5 linked regions of the Sus scrofa genome follow. The main gene of each other region encodes a partner of the protein of the gene in region 2 in a complex. Links are inferred from orthologs where the notes say so. Each region holds a gene or a part of one and is shown on either strand. Other genes may lie near its edges.

Region 1 (3,456 bases), on a different chromosome or scaffold from region 2:
TGGAATAAGAGGGGCTGTGTTTTCCGTCCATGAAGAGCTGAAAGCGAGGAGCTGCTGGAGATGGTCTCCTCAGTATGGTTTCTGCCTCCCTGGCAACCTCTCCATCCCTTTATTTGCTCTTAAACTTTTCTCCTCAGCTGTTACAAAACCTTGTCAAGTTCTAGCCACCTGATTAAAGTGATCCGTGCAAAAACCCCCACACCTGTGAATGTGTAAGAAACAATTTGAGGACAAAGAAACGGAAGAACAACATTGTGGACAACGTATAAACATGGAGGACGTATGATATCAGAGCGTTAGGTGTTGAGATTTTAAATCAGTTTAAGCTACATTCAAGCAAATTCTAAGAAAAAAAGACTAAAACGAATTAGAGGGATGCCAGGGCTATTTTGAAGATGATGGGAAATCAGCAGGGAGGGTCCCCATGTTTCATTCTGGGGTCACAGCTTAGAAAATTCTGAGTTCAATTAAACTCACTTTACCCAAAACCACTGCATTGCAAATGCCCTTCTCATGTTTCCAACCAGGATAATGGAGACCTAAGGGCTGCATATACAGGAAAAATGAGATTTGAGATATTTCATATTTCAGTCTCAATAAAGAAGGCTTACTCGGCCTCAGAGTGCCCAGTTGCAAGAGTCTGGACCTGAGGGAGTCACAGAAGCGATAAACATATAAGGGGAGAAGGGACCAGGGGAAAAGGTGGAGATGATTACAACAGAAGTGGCTGGTGAGAAAACAGCCAGGTGTTTTCACATTTTATTCACTACAGTAGAGACCCTTGAGCTGCCTCATTCCCACCCCCTCCCTCCCCCCTCCACAGGGTCAGGCCTTCCCAGGAGCCCCTGCCTTGGCTGCCTGGGCCCGCTGGAACTCCTGCTGCAGCTGAGCCAGGGTCTCCCTCTGTTGCTCTGACTGGCGCTCCAGTTCCCGGAGTTGGGATTCGTATCGCTTACTGAGGAAGACAGAACACCAAAAACGGTGAGGTCTTAATGAGACTTACTGCTGAGGATGCTGAAGGCAGGAAGGAGATTGGTGGGGAACGTGAGATCCAAGGGAGGGAGGAGAAGAGGGGTTAAAAGGAAAGCGGCTGGAGGAACTGGGTGGTGGTGGTGGTGGGAACAGCTCTGGAAGCTACTCTACAAGGCTTTCTCAACACGTCTTCCACCGTGGCATGTCTGTCAGAAGGTGCTGGAACAAAGACTCACATTTCAGCTGTGATGTAGTCCAGCCTTTTCCCCACTGTGGCTCGAGCCTCTCCCAGCTCCTGTTTGACCAGCACGGGACCCAGAAGTTTAAAGACCACGTTGGATCCATCCAGCAGGGCCAGTTCCTGATGGAGGGGCAGGACATCTGTGATCAGAAACATTGCCAGGACAAGTTCCCTCCTCGCCCCACAAATCCTGTGCTCTCACCTCCTTCACGATATTATTTTCTGTTAGTTGTGCTTCTAGTTTCTGCCTCCCTGACATGGACTTACTCAAGTCTGGCGGGTGGGAGGGAAGACTTGATTAAAGACATCAGATATGCCACCCAATCCCTACCGTCCTGGTGAGAAATGGAGCGACAAGGACGGGAACACCATGGAGGTGGGGAAGGGGCACGGGTGGGATGGAGAGGGGCAGGACGCATCTTGTAAGGCTTCGGGTAGTGAGAGAACCGGGACAACCCCGTTCCCCTACCCTTCTGTAGCTGTTGATATTTCTCCACTTCTCCCTGTAGCTTCTTCTGGATCAGCTCAGCCATGGCGAGGACGAAACTCCGCGGGAAGAGGGAGAGGGGCGCTGGGTTGCACACTCTGGAAGGTACCCGAGCTCCCCTTTCCGGCCTGCGGAAATGACAGCCCTCTTGAGAAGCAGCCCCTCGGGGCACCGCAGTCTCCCCCCGTCCGAGATATCGACTCCACCCCTGCTCTAGGCGGCAGCGGGGGAAAAGAGACCCCAGAGCCCTCAACCGAACGCCTGCTCTATCTACTCACGTTCTTCTTTCAGTGTTGGTGAACCCGGAAGTAAACAGAGAATGCTGGGAAGAGACGGCGCCGGAAGCTCTCGTCTGACGCATGCCGGGAACTGTAGTTCTCACTTGTTAGACGAGTGGCGTTTTTCTAAAAGGCTGGACTCGGAACGTTCTAGGCAACATGCGGAAACGAAGCTGGAAAAAGGAACTGCACAGTCAACTTGAGTCCTGGCTCCGGACCACCTCTCTTTCATTACTCAAGCATAAACTGCCTCACGGGGGCGGGGCCAAGGTCTGCCCCCCACCTCACTGGAGAGAGCGCCCTCACCCAAGATGGCGCCTCGAGGGCTTCGAACCTGGGGCGGAGCTGATTGGATGAGGGCCGGAAGACTTCCGGGAGTTTTCAATCCGACTGTGGGACAGCTGAGAGGAGTTTGCACGTGTGTCGCGGTTCGGGTGGGCTTGATGGAGACAGCCCCCAAGCCTGGCAGTGATGTCCCGCCCAAGAAGGACAGACTTCAGGCCAAGAGAAAGGTAGAGACCTCCTTGGGTTGAAAGGAAAGTTTTTGGCTGAGGGGTTGGAGGGGCGGGGAGGAGGCAGCGGAATATCAGGGGTCCTGATCTGCCAGCAGAAACCTCGGCGATACTGGGAGGAAGAGACCGCTCCGACAGCTGCCGGAGCCTCTCCGGGTCCCCCTCGTAAACAGAAGAAGAATCGAGAGGCCCGCCCTCAGAAGCCAAAGAACGCTCCCATCCAAAAGAAGTCTCGGTTCCCCAAGAAGCCCCAGGTCCCAAAGAAATCCCAAGAATGGAGGAGTCCAGGCCCTCAGCGGAGCTTGTCTGGGGTGAGCCTGGGACCTTATACGGTGGCGAGGCAAGTCTCCTCGTGCTTTGAGGGTACGAGAGTTGGGATCAACCCGAGCCTGTTTACTAATTGCCCCATTCCTGTCCCAGGCCCAGGACCCGTTTGCAGGCCCCGCCCCTGTCCCTGTGGAGGTAGTTCGAAAGTTCCGTCGCATCGACAAATCCAAAAAGGTGAGAACCGGTCGGAGAGTGGGGAGGAGTTGCAGGCAGGGAGTGTCTGGGTGAGCTGGATGGAGGCGCGGTCAGGTGGCTCTCCTGTAACCCCCATACTCGCCCATTCCTCTCCCACCAATGATTGTAGCTGCCCCGTTCCAAGTCCAAAGCCCAAAGCCGGCTTGATGCTGCTGAAGCTGAGGAAGAGGAAATAAGCGTCAAAGCTGCTCGTTCTGAGCTGCTGCTGGCTGAGGAACCTGGGTAAGTGGACCGTAATGTGGGCCTCCCCAGCTCCTGGTTTATGAGGCTCTCATTTCTCACTTTTATGTTGATACACTGACTTCACATCGGAAAGCTGAATGCAACCCTGACATTCACTGGCAGGTTTCTGGAAGGTGAGGATGGGGAGGACACAGCAAGGATACGCCAGGCTGACATCGCAGAGGCTGTGGATATTGCAAGTGCAGCCAAGGTGAGCCTGAG
Region 2 (4,476 bases):
GTGTTGCCGTGAGCTATGATGTAGGTCACAGAAGTGGCTCGGATCTGGTGTGGCTGTGGCTGTGGCTGTGGTGTAGCCTGGCGGCTGCAGCTCCAATTCAACCCCTAGCCTGGGAACTTCCATATGCTGTCAGTCAGTGTGGCCCTAAAAAGACAAAAAGAAAAAAGAAAAAACCCACAAAAAGAAAGAAAGAAAAGATGAAAGAGCCACCATGACCTTTCCATAGTAATCTCTAATATCATACTCCTCAGTATTGGAATTCTCTGAGCAATTCAAAAGACGTAGAAGAGACTTTCCAAACCTTATCTGTGTACTCTTATTCACACACTAGAACCTCTTCCATTTAACTATCCTCAGTTTAGGCTCCTTCTCTCCAGTGATATGTCCAATGAATTCTAAAATTTTAAAAGTATAAACCAGGAGTTCCCGTCGTGGCGCAGTGGTTAACGAATCCAACTAGGAACCATGAGGTTGCGGGTTCGATCCCTGCCCTTGCTCAGTGGGTTACAGATCCGGCGTTGCCGTGAGCTGTGGTGTAGTTTGCAGACGAGGCTCGGATCCTGAGTTGCTGTGGCTCTGGAGTAGGCCGGTGGCTACAGCTCCGATTCGACCCCTAGCCTGGGAACCTCCATATGCTGCGGGAGCAGCCCAAGAAATAACAAAAAAAGACAAAAAAAAAAATAATAATAATAATAGAAGGTATAAACCAGAAGGGTCTTTAAAAGACGACCTAATTTTTTTCATTAAACACTAGAGAGGTTTCTGAGGTGACCAGACTCTAACAAGGACCTGGTAGCAGAGATGGGACAACTAATAATTCAATAAATAAACACTCAGTCCCTATAATAAGTCAGGTTCTGGATATATAATACTACCCAATCTCTACCTTTGGGAAGATCATACTCACATGGAAGCACAGAGCATCAGCGTTAAGACCATGGATTCTGGAATCAGATGGACTTGAGTTTAAATCCTGGCTCTGGGAGTTCCCATCGTGGCTCAGTGGTTAACGAATCCAACTAGGAACCATAAGGTTGCGGGTTCGATCCCTGCCCTTGCTCAGTGGGTTAAGTATCTGACATTGCAGTGAGCTGTGGTATAGGTTGCAGACGTGGCTCGGATCCTGCATTGCTGTGGCTCTGGTGTAGGCCAGCGGCTACAGCTCCGATTAGACCCCTAGCCTGGGAACCTCCAGAAGCAGCCCTAGAAGTGGCAAAAAGACCAAAAAAAAAAAAAAAAAAAAAAAAAAAAATCCTGGCTCTACCAATTACCAGTTGAATGACCTCAAATCTATAACGTAAACTCTGTGAAACAACTTCCACATCTGAAAAGAGTTCACAATATAGTGGCACAAATGCCAACAGGTTTATGGTAAAGTATACTAATGTCTACAATTTATTTTGAAATGCAAAAGCAGATTGCTAGATGGATAAAGGAGCAGATATAAGATAAAGCAACAGAGTAAAATGTTACTTGTAGAACTTAGGCACACAGGTATGCACTAAACGAATCTTTCAACTTCTTTGTATGTCTGAAAAGTCATAATAAAATGGAGGAGAGACACTTATTAGAATGGAGGTGACAATTAGACAATGGAAAAGGAGCTGCTAAGTACAGTGCTTGGCAGGTAGAAAGCACTGGACAATGTCAGTTATTTACAGTGACAGGTCTTCAGTGAGCAGAAGCTGGATAAAGAGAATTTTCAGTCACCTTGACCCTATTGCTATATCCTCTCTTGGCAGAGGATGTTCAAAAAAGTAACCAGAGGCTTCTCTTTGGCCTTTGCTATTAGCACAATGAGGCCAGAAGGAACCAGTCTTAAACTCCAATTTTATAGCTGCTAAGCCACGGCAGAGGCCAAGGGCATGGGGCTGCCGTGAGAGCAGAGACTACTTATTGGGGGCTGTACCAGCTCAGGGGGCGCGGGCTCAGGAGTCAGAACACACGGGTATAAACTCCAGCGTTACCATCGCTAAACTGGGCGGCAAGTGGATTGGTGACGTGCCCGCTCCCACGCTGAACAGTTTCGTGAGTATAACGCAGGAGAGCCGACTCGGCACCTTCATCATTTACTAACAGCGGACTTAACGGAATGGTCAGAAAGGAGGCTGGCGGGGCGGGAGAGCGGATCGCGGGCCCTGGAACTCCCGCGCTCTCAGCCCGATCCCTTCCCGACTCTGAAGCCCCCAGAGCTTCCCTCTGACCGCACAAATCCCGACCCGTGCCAGGGCCCTCGGAGCCCACCTACGTCTAACGGTCCTTCTGCTCCCCGGCGTCAACGTTTGTCATCCGAAATGCAAGCCCCCGGAGTACAGGGACCTGGCCCGTCTCCTCCCCGCTCATCCCCTGGCCGCGCCGACCGCGCAGGGCAGGGTCGCTCAAGACTCGCCGGCCAGAGACAAGGCCGCCAGGACCGTCCTGCCTGGGGACGCCCCCGCCTCGGCCCGCCCTCCGGGCCCGCCTCAGCCCCTCGGCCCCGCCTCAGTGTCCACCTCAGCGCCCAACTCAGCCCTTCAGCCCCCGCCTCAGCGCCCCCGCCCCCAGCCCACTGCCACACCTCACGCGCGTTCTCCTGGCCCACGAGCCCCGAGGCCGCCTGCTTGGCCAGACCATTCTCGTCTAGCCCTAGCCCCTTCACGTGGCTGTGGGAGGCAATGCGCTGCGTCTTGGTCGTGCTCTTCACCTCCTCGATCTTCATCCTGCACACCTGAGCGCGAACACCCGCGGAGCCTTGAGAGCTCACACCGGGTGCCCAGTAACCACGCGGCCGTTACCAGGCGGTTGGCCCAGGTCCGCCTCGGTCGGCGCTCCATTGGCCGCGGCGGGAACGCCTTCACCTCCCACTGGCTCTTGGCCGTGCCCTTCGCAGCTGCCGGGGAGGCTCCGCCCACCCACTTCCGGCTGTGTCCCAGGGTTTGTGTCCCCGCGGAGAGCGCTTCCTCCCTGGGTGGGAAGAGAGGGGTGCTGCACAAAACCCGGGCCGAATCCTGCCCTTTACCGTACTGCCATTGGTGATGGCAGCCAAACACATACCCTTATGCAGAGCCCAAGTTCCACCTCGGTGTTGGAGATGAAAAAACAGGTTTAGATCTTAAGCTTGTGTTCACTAGGCAGTTTGCTGACCTCCAAGCCTTTCCTCCCCTGGGGAAGCAGTGCTGAGCATCCTCTGTGCAACTGTCCTCTGCTTCTCCTCGCCACCTCTCTTTACTTAAATTAAGTTGGCTGTGAGTGGCGTTTTATGTCCCCAAAACTCTACTACCCTGTAAGATACTGTAACTCCTAATACAGATAAAGATGTGGCTAAATTAGGCCCAGTAACTTGCCCAAGAACACACAGCACATAATCAGCAGAGCTGGAACTCCAGCTGAGGACTTAAGGCTTTGCAGCCTGTGTAACCCTCATCCCAGCCCATGACCTCAGATGAGACAATCATCTAGCAGCCTGTCATGTCTGGTTCCATGATGATATTGACACTCGCCCTTTGGATGTGCTCCATTGGCCACACAGTCATTCAACAAACATTTGTTAGCACCTGCTGTGAGCCAGACAAGAGAATGCACTGGGATGCAGATATCAAAACAAAATCTCCAGCCTTGACAAGCTCAGATCTTAGGTGGGAAACTTACAACATGAGGAATGCAAGCCCAAGCAGGGCCACGTGGAACAGGTGGAGAGCCAAGGAAGGCACCATGAGATGATAATGTCCAGACCTAACCCTGAGAGAAGGGTAACACCCTCAGGAGTAGATGGTATGTCACCATTTTACAAATGAGTGAACTCAGGTCCAGAGAAAGGAAGGAACTTGCCCAGAGCTCAGAGAAGCTTGCATTAGGCTTGAGACAGACCTGAAGCCAAATCCAGCTGCAGTAGTTCTGGATTCTCAAATCTCCTTGAACTTCTCCATGGTAACATTTGAATCTAGTTTCCTAATTATTTGCAAATTATCGGGTCAATATTAGTCTCTCCCTCTAAACTGCAGGCATTACGAAAATGTAGACCACATCTGCGTTGCACATCATTTTAACCCCAGTGTCAGGCACATGGTCTGGCTCACAATTAAGTCTCCTTATAAATTCAGTACAGTTCTAGACCTCCACATACACACACAGTCATGCAGTTTTGCTGCACGTATTTTACATATTAGATTTTATGGGATGTGGTTATGGTTTCTGTCAGTAAATAGAAACTTTTGGCCCCCAACTCCCCTTCTGCCAGAGCTGTTACATTTTTTTTTCTTTTTGTTTATTCTTATATATTTTTTAACTGCTAAAAATATTTCAAAATCTGATCTAGTCTAGCATTCTCCTTTTATAGGTGAGGAAATTGAGGCCCTAAGATGAGATGGAGTTGGTCCAAGATCATACATTGAGCAAATGTCTTTCCTGGGCCTAGACCCAGGTCAGTGTGCAAAGAAGCTGGGCCTGGTTGCAGAGCGAGACAGTTCCTTTCATTTCAACAGAAGACTACACAGCAGG
Region 3 (4,445 bases), on a different chromosome or scaffold from region 2:
TTATTTAGCAAACATTTTAAAGATGAAAAACTCAGAAGCAAGAAGCAACCAAATGAAGTGACTTGTCTAATTTTAGGATGTGGTCATTCAAACCACTGAGAACTCTTGGCTTTTGGTAACCTAGCGGCTTAGTATTTATGACATTAATATGTTGTTTTCACTTCTAAGCTATAGTTTTACCTTCCTTTGACTATTGTGTTACATTTAAAACAATTTAAATTCCAAGGTAACGAAGGGTTTGAAGCCTCTGAACAACCAAGAAGGTTTTTACAGGAATTAAGTCAACATATAACCAGCCATGAAAATACAATGTAGTGTCTTCTTTAAAAATAAAACCAGTCATTCCTGTCTAGTATGTTTGGAATGCAAATGTCTCCAAAGTCACTCAACTTAAATCATGACAGTTCACGTTTGAAGGGAATAGGAACTTGAAACTCCACATTAATTAACACTTTCAGGACACAATTACACAGTTCCATTAACTTTTATCAGTACCTAGTATTCAGTCTCAGGTTAAATCTTAGTGACTAGATTTAGAGAAAATATCACATGTCAAAGTGTATATGAAGTTAAAAATTGGACAGTTAAAAGATATGGTCCAATATCAGATATTTAAGAACAGATACTTATTCAAGACAGTTTTTGCCATACTGTGCACCAGAACCTTGGAGTATGGGCTTCTACATAAATAGAAGTTCTTGTTATTCAGAGAAGGAGGTGGTGCAAAAACGGACAACTATTTTCTTTCTCAACACTCACTGGTGTTGAAGTAAATAAACAAACAAAAAAACCCAGTGTAAATACATTAGAGCAGAGAAACAGTCTCCGAGTCATAAAAAGGGGGAGAGACAAAAATTTCTGTGCTCTAACATTTTAAACAGCAGACTGGGAGTTCAAAGTGAAATTTACTCTCTGGCTTTTACAACCAATTCATTACTTCGACATTTTATCTGTTATGTCTTCACTCTCACTTAACCATATTAGGAAGAGGAAAACATGTGCCCCCAAGATTCCTATGCCAATAAAACTACTTTGGAAGCAACATAGCTCACCAAATGAAGAACATCAAAAAAATGCTAAGTGACAAAAGTAGAACTGAACTATCTCAACTTCTGAGTGATAATCCCTGGAACAGGTTAATGCAAGGAGCATAAAAAATATTGCAAACTCTACGCAAATGTTAAAGAGTTGCAAAAAACTCAAATATCATAAAAAACTGGAGGGAAAAAAAGAAATAAACGAAAGTACTGTGAAAGGAGGGCGCTGAGAAGGAAGCTTGATTGAAGCACACAGGTCAAAGGGAGGTGGGGAGGGGGCCTGCAGTACTTCCGTTCTCCTCTCTACCAAGAGGCAATTTTAGGCATTCTTAAGTGATTGAGGCAACAAGACATGTGCTTTGAAACAGGAGTACTACGGAGATGGTCTTGAAATGTCCAACTTAGAGAAAACAACCATGAAATCCCCAGATCATATTTCTCAAGCTTCCTGTAGAAAAATATCAACCATGCTCACACATCGAAGCCAGCTCATTTGACCTCATCTAGACAAGTCTTCAGACAGCCCTCACTCTCTCTCCAGCCCGCCTTCCTTCACTTCCCTGCTGTTGCTTTCCTGGCACACAAAATATAGGCCAGTGAACGGTGGGTGGGTGAGGAGGATGTGAGAGAAAATATGAGAAGTAAAAACGGAATCCACTTAACAGGGACATTAATGAGTCTCATAAGGGCAGGCCAGCAACAATCAGAAGTGAACGGAAAGGGCTTTCCTGGGAAGCAGCGAGCGCGTCTGTAAGGGTTGGGGCAGAGGCCAGGCTACCTACCACTTTTCAGAGAGGCTGCACGGGGGCCGGCTGCCTTGGGTGACCTCTACTGTCTCTTCCGACTCTGAAATGTTAGGATTCTCATTTCACAAAAGGGAACGCGACGGTCATAAAGCCCTCCGACTTAGGACCCTTGTAAATAGGCTGCCTCGTCGGCAGCTTCCCAAACACCACTCCCACCTCTCCCTCCCACACGTGCCCACCCCGCCCCCTTTCAATTTTTCCACCTCCACGTGCGAAACGCCTCGCAGCACTCGCCCCACAGCGGAGAGCGCCTTCCCCTGCAAAGCACCGAAACTCTGCCCCCCTGGGAGAGGTGAGGCGTCCACTCTGCGACCCTGAGCGGCCAAAAAAGGAACTCTCAAATCCAGTCTGCCCCCCTCGCAGCCAGAGCTGAAGGAGGAGGGGGGCGGGACGCAAAGAATAACTTTCTTCTAAAATTTCTCGTCCAGAAAGCGGAGGAGGGGGGGGGGAGAGAGAGAACCCCGAACAGTCCGGGGCTGAGCGGGTGGGGGGAGGGGAAACCCCCTCTCCCCGCATCGTTTAACGGCCGGCAGGGGGGAGGGGGACTCCGGAGGTGAAGGGGGCGTGGGATGGAGAAGCAGGCCAGGGAGCAGGGTCAGGGAGCTGCAGGGGTTCCTGAGGTTGGGGAGCTGCGGGCGTCCCCCCCACCTGGCACACAAAGCAGCTGCCGCGCTCGGCTCTCACCAGATCCTTTGTGTTTTCCATCAGGGCCTCATGGGTAGGGGTTGTCCGTGCTCCCCAGGCCCGCGGCGCCCCCTCCCGAGCTGGGGGCAGACGCCTCTGCCCAGAACTATGGCGACTACAGGGGGGGCCCCGGATGGGCCCAGACCGGTGGCAGCTGCGGCAGCCCCCGGATTTCCCCCCTTTAACTCGGGTGGCCCCAGGATATCAACAACATTAGCATAGCCCTCCCTCCCTAGCGCGCCTGCGCCGTGACCCGCGCCCCGATTGGCCCACTTCCCTACATACCCTCCTCTCAGTCTTCCAGCATGGGACCCTCTGCAGGCTCCGTACTCCACGGGCCGTACCAAGACGAAGGGGTGGAAAAGGCAATTGGGGCTCGTGTAAGTCAAGTGGTTAAAAGTCAGGAAGGAAAGGAGAAATTTCATCCCGTCACCTCAGTTTATACCCTAGCATTCTTGCGTTCCTTTCAATCACTTGTAGCTGCGAAGTTGTGTTGGAAGAAAATTCCCACTCCAGTTACGACGCTTCCCCCTCTACTCGGAAGATTGGTCCTCCCGGAGGAACTCCCACACGGGGAGGAGCTCTTGCGGGGAGTGGGCGTTACGTAGAGCGAGAGAGTGTTGGTCACGTGCTCACAGGCGTTGCAGGCTCTTTCCGGCCTCCGGCAGCCCCAGCAGCAGCGGAAAGCGAGGGGCCTCGGCGCATGCGCAGTGAGGTTCCACGTGAGCGCCCGCGTTCCTTCTCAAACCCAAGGATGCCGCCGGAACGGAGGGGCCGAGCGAGACCGGACAGGACACCCGGAGTGAGACCGGGCCGGAAGACCCAAGTGAAGCCGGGCCGGAGAGCTGGACTGGGGCGGGCTGGGCCGCCCCGAAAGGCTGCTGCTTCATCCCAGCGGCAACCGCCGGCCCCGCCGGGAGCAGCGGCCGCTGCGATAGCAATCGCGGCGGAGGAGGAGAGACGGCTCCGGCAGCGGAATCGCTTGAGGCTGGAGGAGGACAAGCCGGCCGTGGAGCAGTGCCTGGAGGAGCTGGTCTTCGGCGATGTGTTGGACGACGAGGACGCGCTGCTGCGGCGTCTGCGGGGCCCGCGGGTGAGGGAGGCCGAGGCGCGCGGGCTGGGCGCTCGGTGGGCGGTGAGTCTCCAGGGGCGGAGCCTGGGAGACCTGCGGCGCAGAGGAGCTCTCAGGTGGGAGGGAGCCGGGAACGCGGGCGCCCAGGGGTGCCACTCTGAAAGTCTCCGGAGGGCGGAGACAGCGCTTCACTCCCTTGGGAACCGCTTTCCCAGGTATCTAGCAGGCGCTCAATACATACTAATCTGTGTTGAAAGTCTTGAGCATTTTTCGCAGCTCAACCCCATCATCTCCTAAACTCGGTGCTCCTTTCCGCTTGGCCGTTCAGTAGCCTGCCTCAATATCTTGTGATTCGGGGATTCCACCTCGTTTGTGGAGTAAGAATTCATGGGCACGGGCCTGAGAGTCTGTTTTAACAGTTTATCCATATGATAGACTAGCTAGCTTTTGAGAACGATCTTGCCTTCGTCTAGCCAGTAAATCTCTGTGGGCCAGTTTGGCACCAGATACTTTTCCTGGCAATGAGAACCCTGCATAATATTTTTTGCACACTTTTTGCCTCTTTTTTTTTTTTTTTTTTTAAATCCTGAACCTGTTTTTTATTCCAAGATAGGCTATTTCTAGGCATTCTCTAGGCACTGGAAGAGAAGCAGCAATGCAGGAAAACATCCCTTCCTTCTTGGCGCTTTTGTGTTAGTGGTAGAGGCAGAAGATAAAGTTCAGGTATGTCAGTGAAGTGCTGAAGAGAAAAAATAAAGGTACTCGAGAAAGGGAGATAAGTGTGTGTAGAGGAGGCCTATGAAATTTTACATCGGATGGCCAAGCAAAGCCTTACTGAAAATTACT
Region 4 (3,832 bases), on a different chromosome or scaffold from region 2:
CCTCATGGGTACTAGTTGGATTCTTAACCCTCTGAGCCACAACAGGAACTCCCTCATTTAGGTTTTTTTTTTTTTCTTAGCAGCCTTCAATTCAGCATTTATAAAGATCTGAAATGTCATGTTTTGATTTCTAGGCAATGCATATAATCAAGAGGAACGTGTCGTTTGTGCTGGTTATGACAACGGAGATATCAAACTATTTGATCTCAGAAATATGTCATTACGGTGGGAGACAAATATAAAAAACGGGGTAATGTACCTTTGGATTCTTTTCAGTTTCTCTGAACATGTTTTTACCCACCTCTGAACTATATTACAAAAGCAGGAGTTCCTGTGGTGGCACAGTGAGTTAATAATCTGGCTTGTCTCTGTGGAGGCTCGGGTTCTATCCCTAGCCCAGCGCAGTGGGTTAAGGATCCAGCATTGCTGCGGCTGTGGGTGTAGGTCGAAGCTCCAGTTGATTCGACCCCTGGCCTGGGAGCTTCCATATGTTGAAGGTATGGCTGAAAAAGAAAAAAAAAATAACCAAAGGAAAGCAACTCTAATAACTCATCTAAGTACAACCCATCTGTTGATAGTTCTTATCCTTTGGGGGCTGTAGAGTCCTTTGAGGATCCAGTAAAAATCAGGAATCTTTGGAGTTCCTGTTGTGGTTCAGCAGTAACGAACCTGAATAGTATCCATGAGGATGCTTAGTGGGTTAAGTATCCAGCATTGCCACGAGCTGTGGTATAGGTTGCAGACACAACTCGGATTCTGTGTTGCTGTGGCTGTGGCGCAAGCTGGCAGCTGCAGCTCAGATTCAGCCCCTAGCCTGGGAACTGAGAACTTGCATACACCTAATGTTCAACCCTAAAAAGCAAAAAAAAAAAAAAAAAAAAAAAATCAGAGATCCTCTCTTTAGCAAATTAACACACACCCTCATGTGATATGACAGTGCCAGGTAGATCACAGCCCCTATGGCTCATCTGTGGACCCTGTGGGCCACGCAGTGTGGTATTATGTTTTGGGGGGGCTAATTTAAATTTTTTTCTTTTTTCTCCTTTTAATTTTTTCCAGTGTGGTATTAAAATGAGCTAGAGGAGGCCTTTTTCTGATATTATTAGGAAGTCTGAAATGTAATAGACTCCCAAGTACTATTAGATTTTTGGTTCCTGAGTTGTACATCTTGAGTGAAGCATGTGGTTCCCTCTTGTTCTCTCTAGTCAACCTTTGTTCAGCTTTATAAAAGAATTAAATAACAGTGGTAAAAAGTTATGGCTTTCTAGATGTACTCTAGCTGGTTCTATGAATCTTATTAACCAAGAAGAAATTTTTGTAGTTACAAGTATTTGATATATTGACTCAAAAGATAAAAATGATTATTTAAAATGCTTTCTATGAATCTTATTAACCAAGAAGAAATTTTTGTAGTTACAAGTATTTGATATATTGACTCAAAAGATAAAAATGGTTATTTAAAATGCTTTTTATTTTCTATTTTTTATTTTTTTAATTTTTTTGGCCTTTTTTCTAGGGCTGCTTCCCTCAGCATATGGAGGTTCCCAGGCTAGGAACTGAATCAGAGCTGCAGCTGCTGACCTGCACCACAGCTCACAGAACACCAGATCCTTGACCCACTGAGCGAGGCCAGGGTTTGAACCTGCATTCTCATGGATATTAGTCAGGTTCATTTCTGCTGAGGCACAGCAGGATCTCCCTGAGCCACTAATTTTAAAAAATTGTTTTACTTAGTTTGAAAGAACCTCTTGAATAATAATCATGAGACCATTAATAATAAATATTCTCCGTTTCCAGGTATGTAGCTTGGAGTTTGACAGAAAAGACATAAGTATGAATAAATTAGTAGCTACATCTCTGGAAGGAAAGTTTCATGTTTTTGACATGAGAACACAGCATCCAACCAAAGGTTTTGCTTCCGTTTCAGAAAAGGTAAATATGAGGGGAGTGTGTTCTATGCAGAGGAATGTTCATGGCTTGTTTTAGACTAAGAAATAGAATGAGTCACCAAGTTCCTTCCAGGTTTTTCCATGAAGGGAGCTATTTTTAATAAATCTTGTAGAATCTTGACACGTTTTTCTGTGCAAAGAGCACTTTCCCAAAGTTTTTCAACTTTAGACTTGGTGATTATCATAAAGGCCTCAGTTGGCTCTGATTCTCATTTTGTACTTAAGAAGCAATCACAAAAAAAGTAGCTGATTTAGGAATTTGATCAACTAAACCAAGCTTGGTGTTTCCTAATAAATATATCATATTTGTATTAATACCTAATTATATACTTTTAGGTAAATGCTTGTATATACCTTTGCTTAATACTAATTATATATCTTTTAAACTATATCAACATATATGCATTATGTCATTTCATCACATTTCGTTTTATATTCCAGTTTGATATATAAAATGAAATTATTTAAAGTGCTAATCACTGTGGTACATAGTTTTACTCAAAATTTATTCATTTATTCATACATGTATATGTACATACTTTGCCTTGTTCTAAATAGTAGTTGAGGAAGCTTAGAGGGAAACAGGATATTGCAATATTAGAAAATGTGATGAAGAAAGTGGCGCAAATGGAAAACACTGGTATAAAAAAATGAAATTGATATATAAAGCAGTGGGATTGCATGCAATTCATGCTGAAACAGCCCATCCTCTGCAAGAGATAGGTTGGAAATGTGACTCTGAGCTTCCTTGAGAAGAAAAATGAAAAACCAGTTACGGATTTGTAGTTTCTGTAGTTTCCGTAAGATTAACATAAGTAAGTTGCTCAGGAAATAAAAATTCACTCCCTTGCTCCCTTTCCTCTATCATGGAGTCAGTAGTACTTCTCAAACCTTCCTGTTCTTTTTTCTTTGATTATTAAAATGATTATTATTGCACATAAATGACTGTCACTGTCTGATTAAACTCTTAGGATAACTAACTATACACTGTTCTATTGTTTTGCCTTTGTCATTTTGGAATATATTAAGTATCTATCAACAACACAAAGCACTTACTAAATTATTCCAAATACAGTTGCAACTCATTTGTCAGTATCTGAAAATTGCCATGTGTCTCCAAAATTTTTTGGTTACATTTATCCAGTAATTGCTAAATCCAGGAATTGCTAAATCTGTCAGGTAAATGACTGGTGCATTTTAACGGGTCATTTCCTCTCTTGTTTTTTTTTTTTTTTTTTTTTTTCCATTAGCTTCCAGGAGAAAAAGATAGGTTTAAACTACAAAACAAATTAAGGTTTAACAGCTTGAACCTATTCACTTGAGAGTCTCACAGACTTCAGGTGTGGATTTTGAGATATGCATTTTTCTTTGCTAATGATAATTGTCTTAAAAGACTATTAAAATCAAATGTCAGGACTGATCATTAGCTAAAATGCAGAGTGTCTTATGCATAGCTTAGATCAAGTTAGCTAGTCTCACTGCTTCTGCAAAGCAGAAATCTTTTCTCCCCTGTCACTCTCCCTCCCTCTCTCCTACTCCCTGCAGGTCCCCCCAAATAGAATCTAGCACTATTAGGATTGATTCACTGGCTGTTGTTAAGGTGCTAAAAGCTGTTAACCTTCATCCAGTTGCCATTTTGATCTTTTCATCCAACGTGACTGATAAGTCCTCCTGATCCTTATTTTGAAACAAGTCAAGTCAGTGGTGTAAATTGATTAGACTGGAAGCTTTACATTAAAGTTCATTCTGTTTATGGGAATACTTGGTACGTGCCACTCAGTTTTGCTGTGAACCTAAAACTGGTCTAAAAAGATCTATTTTTAAAAAAAATTCAGGGAGTTCCCTAGTGGTCTAGTGGTTAGGACTCAGCACTTTCACTGCTG
Region 5 (3,832 bases), on a different chromosome or scaffold from region 2:
CCAGGAATCTTGTCCAAGTACCAGATCTGCACATTTAACTCAGTTCTCAGCACTGCATGAATTGCTCACAGACACCTCAATTCCAACATGTTAAAAAATGAACTTATTGAGGAGATCCTGTTGTGGCGCAGTGGAAACAGATCCAACGAGTATCCATGAGGGCACAGGTTCGATCCCTGGCCTCACTCACTAGGTCAAGGATCTGGCGTTGCCGTGAGCTGTGGTGTAGGTCGCAGACACAGCTCAGATCCCGTATTGCTGTGGCTGCGGTGTAGGCCGGCAGCTGTAGCTCCGAAATGACCCCTAGCCTGGGAACTTCCATATGCCTCAGGTACAGCCCTAAAAAGCAAAAAGTAAAATAAAATAAAAAAATAAAAAAGTAATTTATTATTTTTTTTCCCTATCAAACATGCCTCTCCAGGATCTCCTATGTCAAGTTATAATGTCAGAAGCTTGGGAATCGCTCTCTTTACAGTGCCCTGAAACAATCAATGTGGTCGAAGGATGCAGACTGTAATTACAATGATATCAGGTGACCTCAGTATTTGTGATGGTTCTCCATCATTTATGTTTTGAGAGATAACTACTGTTTTAAAGCACTGAAATGCAATTATACAGAGAGATATTTCCCATTTTAAAGCCAACATAATGAAAGAAAAAATGTTGTGAGAATACATCCTGAAGTTCTCGTCGTGGCTCAGCAGAAATGAATTTGACTAGGATCCATGAGGATGCAGGTTTGATGCCTGGCTTTGCTCAGCGGGTTAAGGATCCAGCATTGCCACGAACTGTGATATAGGTCGCAGACGTGGCTCGGATCCTGCATTGTTGTGGCTGTGGCTGTGGCGTAGGCCTGGGAACCTCCATATGCTGCAGGTGCGGCCCTAAAAAAAGACAGAAAAAAAATATGTCCTGAAAATGTTGGAAGTGTACTAAATCTTTTCTCAATAACTGAGGTCTTTTGGAGTTAAGATATCTAAATCTCATAACTATCATTAAACTGAAATAGAATGGGTCCTAGATATTCTGGGTAAACAATCTTCCACTCCACAGTGAAACTGCATTTGGGTTATACATGTTCAATTATTTATGCTTGGTCAAAAAAAGAGAGAGCAATAGAGAAATAACAAACTAAATACTGTAGGAGATTCCACCTGTTACTTAACTCAGTTAAAGTATCCTTCAGAGTGAGCACGTGATGGGAGATGTGAAGTCTGCTGTGCCCTCAATTTCTCACGTACCTTTCCTGACCCTAGAATTCTCACCATACTTTAGAGAAATGTATGGTTTTGTACAATATATTACCATATACGACTATGTACCCGATAGCATATAAGCTAAAGAAATTTTAAAGAATTTTTACTTTAAAGTAATATATCTCATGAACTACCTCTGAATTTCTAATTCTTATGATCATTAAAGTAGGCATTACCACCCCATTTTGTGAACAAGGAAAGAAAGATAAAAGTAGGCTGTAAGTAATTTGCCTATGGTCTTACAGGTAGGGAACAGCAGAATTACAATTTGAATTGAGTTCTACACAATTTTTTTTTTTTTTTTTTTGCCATGCCTGTGGCATATGGAAGTTCCTGGGCCAGGGATCAAACTCAAGCCACAGCAGTGATACCAGACCCTTAACCAGGGAACTCCTTATATAAGTCTTATATTACACCAAAGTACTTCAGTATAACTTGTCCTTTAGTGCCCTCGTAACTGCCTAGTTCCTTGTCCTTGCTCCTCATAACTTCCTCTCCCCATTTCTTTCCTCCGATTACCTTGTCCCAAATTGCCATCTTTCTGGTTCATTGGATCTTCCAGGTCTCAGTTTATCTCATGCTTCTCAGCCCTTCTACCCACTGTTCTCAAAACCATAGACTGACCCAGTGAACGTAAGTTGAGCTCTTCTGTGATCTTAGCCTCCCTGAGCAGCTCCTCCTGGGTCAGTGGCCGCTCACAGTGGGGCCCCTTTCGCCGCCGTGACTGACCCTGCCGCTCTTGTACTCGAAGGAATGTCTGTCTTGTATGCTCAGCTGTAGACTGACGCATGGACTTCCGACCTGGGAAGGAAGTCAAGAGAGGAAGAAACCTTTGAACTCATGTCCACCTCCTTTGTATTTTTTTTTAAATTTAAAATTTTTATTTGGAAATCATCTTAAACTTAGAAAAAAGTTGCAAGAACAGTACAAAGTAAATCCATGTGTTCTTTACCAGATCACCTGTTAACATTTTGCCCTATTTGCATTTTGTGTGTGTGTGTTTTCTGAATAATCTGAGAGTTAAGTGTACATATCATGGCTCTATTCCCCTAAATACTCAGTGTATATTTTCTAAGAACAAAAAATTTCCTTACATAAACATAATTCAGTTATCAACTTCAGGAAATTTAACAGTAATACAATACTTTATCATATTTCAATTTTGTCAATTGACCCAAACATCCGCACTCACTGTCAGAGCCATCATCCTGTAGTTCTAGTGGAAGCAATGCTTTCTCTTCTCGGGTCTTCTGAGAGCTACCAGCTGGGGTGCTGACCTTTCGAGGCCTCAAGCTCTTAAGAGGCTCCTGGGGACAGAATGGAATCAGACACCAGGGAAGAGAAGAAACAGGTAAAAGGAAGAGAAAACCAGCACTGAAGAAAATGGGACTGGTGTGAGGATCTTGAGACCTGATGAAAGAGAGAACAGGAATTAAGGAAGCCCAAGAAAACTAGGACCCCCCCCTTCACCTTATACGCTTTGGTGACTACTCGGCGCTTCCTTCTTGGCTCTTCTGTTTCTCCATCACTGGATGGTTCATCTCCTTCGTCGATGTCAAAATCAGAGTCCACCTCATCCTCTGTGTCTGACTGGTCCCCTTGATACTCATCATCTCCTGATTCCTGAAGGCATAGGGAAAAAAGGTTCTCATCGGCATCGGAGTCATTAATACCCCTCCAGGAGGAACAGAACTATTTCTTTCTTTCCTTCCCTTTCCTCCCTCCCTCCCTTTCTTTTTTGGTCTTTTTAGGGCTGTACCTGCGGCATATGGAAGTTCCCAGGCTAGGGGTTGAATTGGAGCTACAGCTGCTGGCCTATACCATAGCCATAGCAATGCCAGATTTGAGCCACATCTGTGACCTACTCCACAGTTCATGGCAAAGCTGGATCCTTAACCCACTGAGGGAGGCTAGGGACTGATGGCCTTAATCAATCATGGATGCTAGTCAGATTCATTACTGCTGAGGAAGGCCAGAATCAGTTTCTTTAGAAGGGCTGCCCCACTCTCCTTCCCAACTCAGCCTTTCACCTTCCTCAGGCAAAAAGCTTTCCGAGCTGATGGCCTTCAGCTCCAGGACCACCCCTTCCAACATTAATTGACTGCCTTGTACCTGTAGCACAGTGTTAAGTGCTGGGGTACAAAAGGATATGGTTTAGTCTCTATCTTCATGGGATCTTGCAGACTAGTAGAGGACAGGACATAATTATAAAACAAAGTTTTAATACAAGGCAACATATAAAGTACCAATAAAATGTTACAGATGGCTCGGGAAGGTTTAACTTTAGATTTCCTTCCTTTCGACTAGGAGTTGGCAAACTTTTTCAGTAAAGGGCCAGTTTCAGCCAACAGGTTGTAGTTTACTAAACCCTGCGTTAGACTCTAAAAAATGCAGAGGAGGACCTCCCATTGTGGCTCAGGAGAAACGAATCTAATATCCATGAAGACACAGGTTTGATCCCTGGCTTTGCTCAGTGGGTTAAGGATCCCACTTAAGGATCTTGGCATTGCTGAGAGCTGTGGTGTAGGTTGCAGACCTGGCTCAAATCTGGTATTGCTGTGGCTGTGGTGTAGGCT

Evidence for each region.
Region 1: RUVBL1 (region 2) and PFDN6 share a complex: the UniProt entries of both Homo sapiens proteins name them as parts of the PAQosome complex. The link is inferred for Sus scrofa from reciprocal best matches to the Homo sapiens genes RUVBL1 and PFDN6.
Region 3: RUVBL1 (region 2) and MBTD1 share a complex: the UniProt entries of both Homo sapiens proteins name them as parts of the nuA4 histone acetyltransferase complex. The link is inferred for Sus scrofa from reciprocal best matches to the Homo sapiens genes RUVBL1 and MBTD1.
Region 4: RUVBL1 (region 2) and WDR92 share a complex: the UniProt entries of both Homo sapiens proteins name them as parts of the PAQosome complex. The link is inferred for Sus scrofa from reciprocal best matches to the Homo sapiens genes RUVBL1 and DNAAF10.
Region 5: the proteins of RUVBL1 (region 2) and VPS72 are in contact, whole or in part, in a cryo-EM structure (PDB 9CA9), measured with the Homo sapiens proteins. The link is inferred for Sus scrofa from reciprocal best matches to the Homo sapiens genes RUVBL1 and VPS72. Residues at the interface, in NP_003698.1 of Homo sapiens: Thr136, Leu138, Pro140, Glu142, Met147, Tyr150, Gly151, Lys152, Thr153, Ile154, Ser155, His156, Val157, Asp173, Pro174, Phe177, Glu178, Gln181, Ala187, Gly188, Arg205, Thr208, Tyr209, Ala210, Thr211, Glu212, Phe213; in NP_005988.1 of Homo sapiens: Ile212, His215, Arg263, Thr264, Phe265, Ile266, Thr267, Phe268, Ser269, Asp271, Phe274, Trp277, Phe278, Gln280, Gly281, Arg282, Pro283, Pro284, Lys285, Val286, Pro287, Arg289, Glu290, Ala299, Leu300, Tyr301, Arg302, Pro309.

What each region holds. Positions count from the first base shown.
Region 1 is NC_010449.5:29,652,214-29,655,669, reverse strand, and holds PFDN6 (prefoldin subunit 6), read right to left. Parts: upstream 1,979-3,456; intron 1,972-1,978; exon of another isoform or gene 1,829-1,971; coding exon of another isoform or gene 1,747-1,828; coding exon 1,683-1,746; intron 1,487-1,682; coding exon 1,416-1,486; intron 1,334-1,415; coding exon 1,209-1,333; intron 956-1,208; coding exon 826-955; 3' UTR 725-825; downstream 1-724. Other genes in the region: WDR46 (WD repeat-containing protein 46), read left to right, coding at 2,290-2,490, 2,586-2,801, 2,911-2,991, 3,122-3,234, 3,358-3,445. UniProt on the Homo sapiens protein: Binds specifically to cytosolic chaperonin (c-CPN) and transfers target proteins to it. Binds to nascent polypeptide chain and promotes folding in an environment in which there are many competing pathways for nonnative proteins.
Region 2 is NC_010455.5:72,198,789-72,203,264, reverse strand, and holds the start of RUVBL1 (ruvB-like 1), read right to left. Parts: upstream 2,885-4,476; 5' UTR 2,699-2,884; coding exon 2,558-2,698; intron 1-2,557. UniProt on the Homo sapiens protein: Possesses single-stranded DNA-stimulated ATPase and ATP-dependent DNA helicase (3' to 5') activity; hexamerization is thought to be critical for ATP hydrolysis and adjacent subunits in the ring-like structure contribute to the ATPase activity.
Region 3 is NC_010454.4:27,523,351-27,527,795, forward strand, and holds the start of MBTD1 (MBT domain-containing protein 1), read right to left. Parts: upstream 2,951-4,445; 5' UTR 2,813-2,950; exon of another isoform or gene 2,492-2,812; intron 1,884-2,491; 5' UTR 1,820-1,883; intron 1,811-1,819; exon of another isoform or gene 1-1,810. Other genes in the region: UTP18 (U3 small nucleolar RNA-associated protein 18 homolog), read left to right, coding at 3,231-3,620. UniProt on the Homo sapiens protein: Chromatin reader component of the NuA4 histone acetyltransferase complex, a multiprotein complex involved in transcriptional activation of select genes principally by acetylation of nucleosomal histones H4 and H2A.
Region 4 is NC_010445.4:74,101,941-74,105,772, forward strand, and holds part of WDR92 (WD repeat-containing protein 92), read left to right. Parts: intron 1-134; coding exon 135-250; intron 251-1,797; coding exon 1,798-1,932; intron 1,933-3,832. UniProt on the Homo sapiens protein: Key assembly factor specifically required for the stability of axonemal dynein heavy chains in cytoplasm.
Region 5 is NC_010446.5:98,065,226-98,069,057, reverse strand, and holds part of VPS72 (vacuolar protein sorting-associated protein 72 homolog), read right to left. Parts: intron 2,880-3,832; coding exon 2,727-2,879; intron 2,564-2,726; coding exon 2,449-2,563; intron 2,058-2,448; coding exon 1,881-2,057; exon of another isoform or gene 1,776-1,880; intron 1-1,775. UniProt on the Homo sapiens protein: Deposition-and-exchange histone chaperone specific for H2AZ1, specifically chaperones H2AZ1 and deposits it into nucleosomes.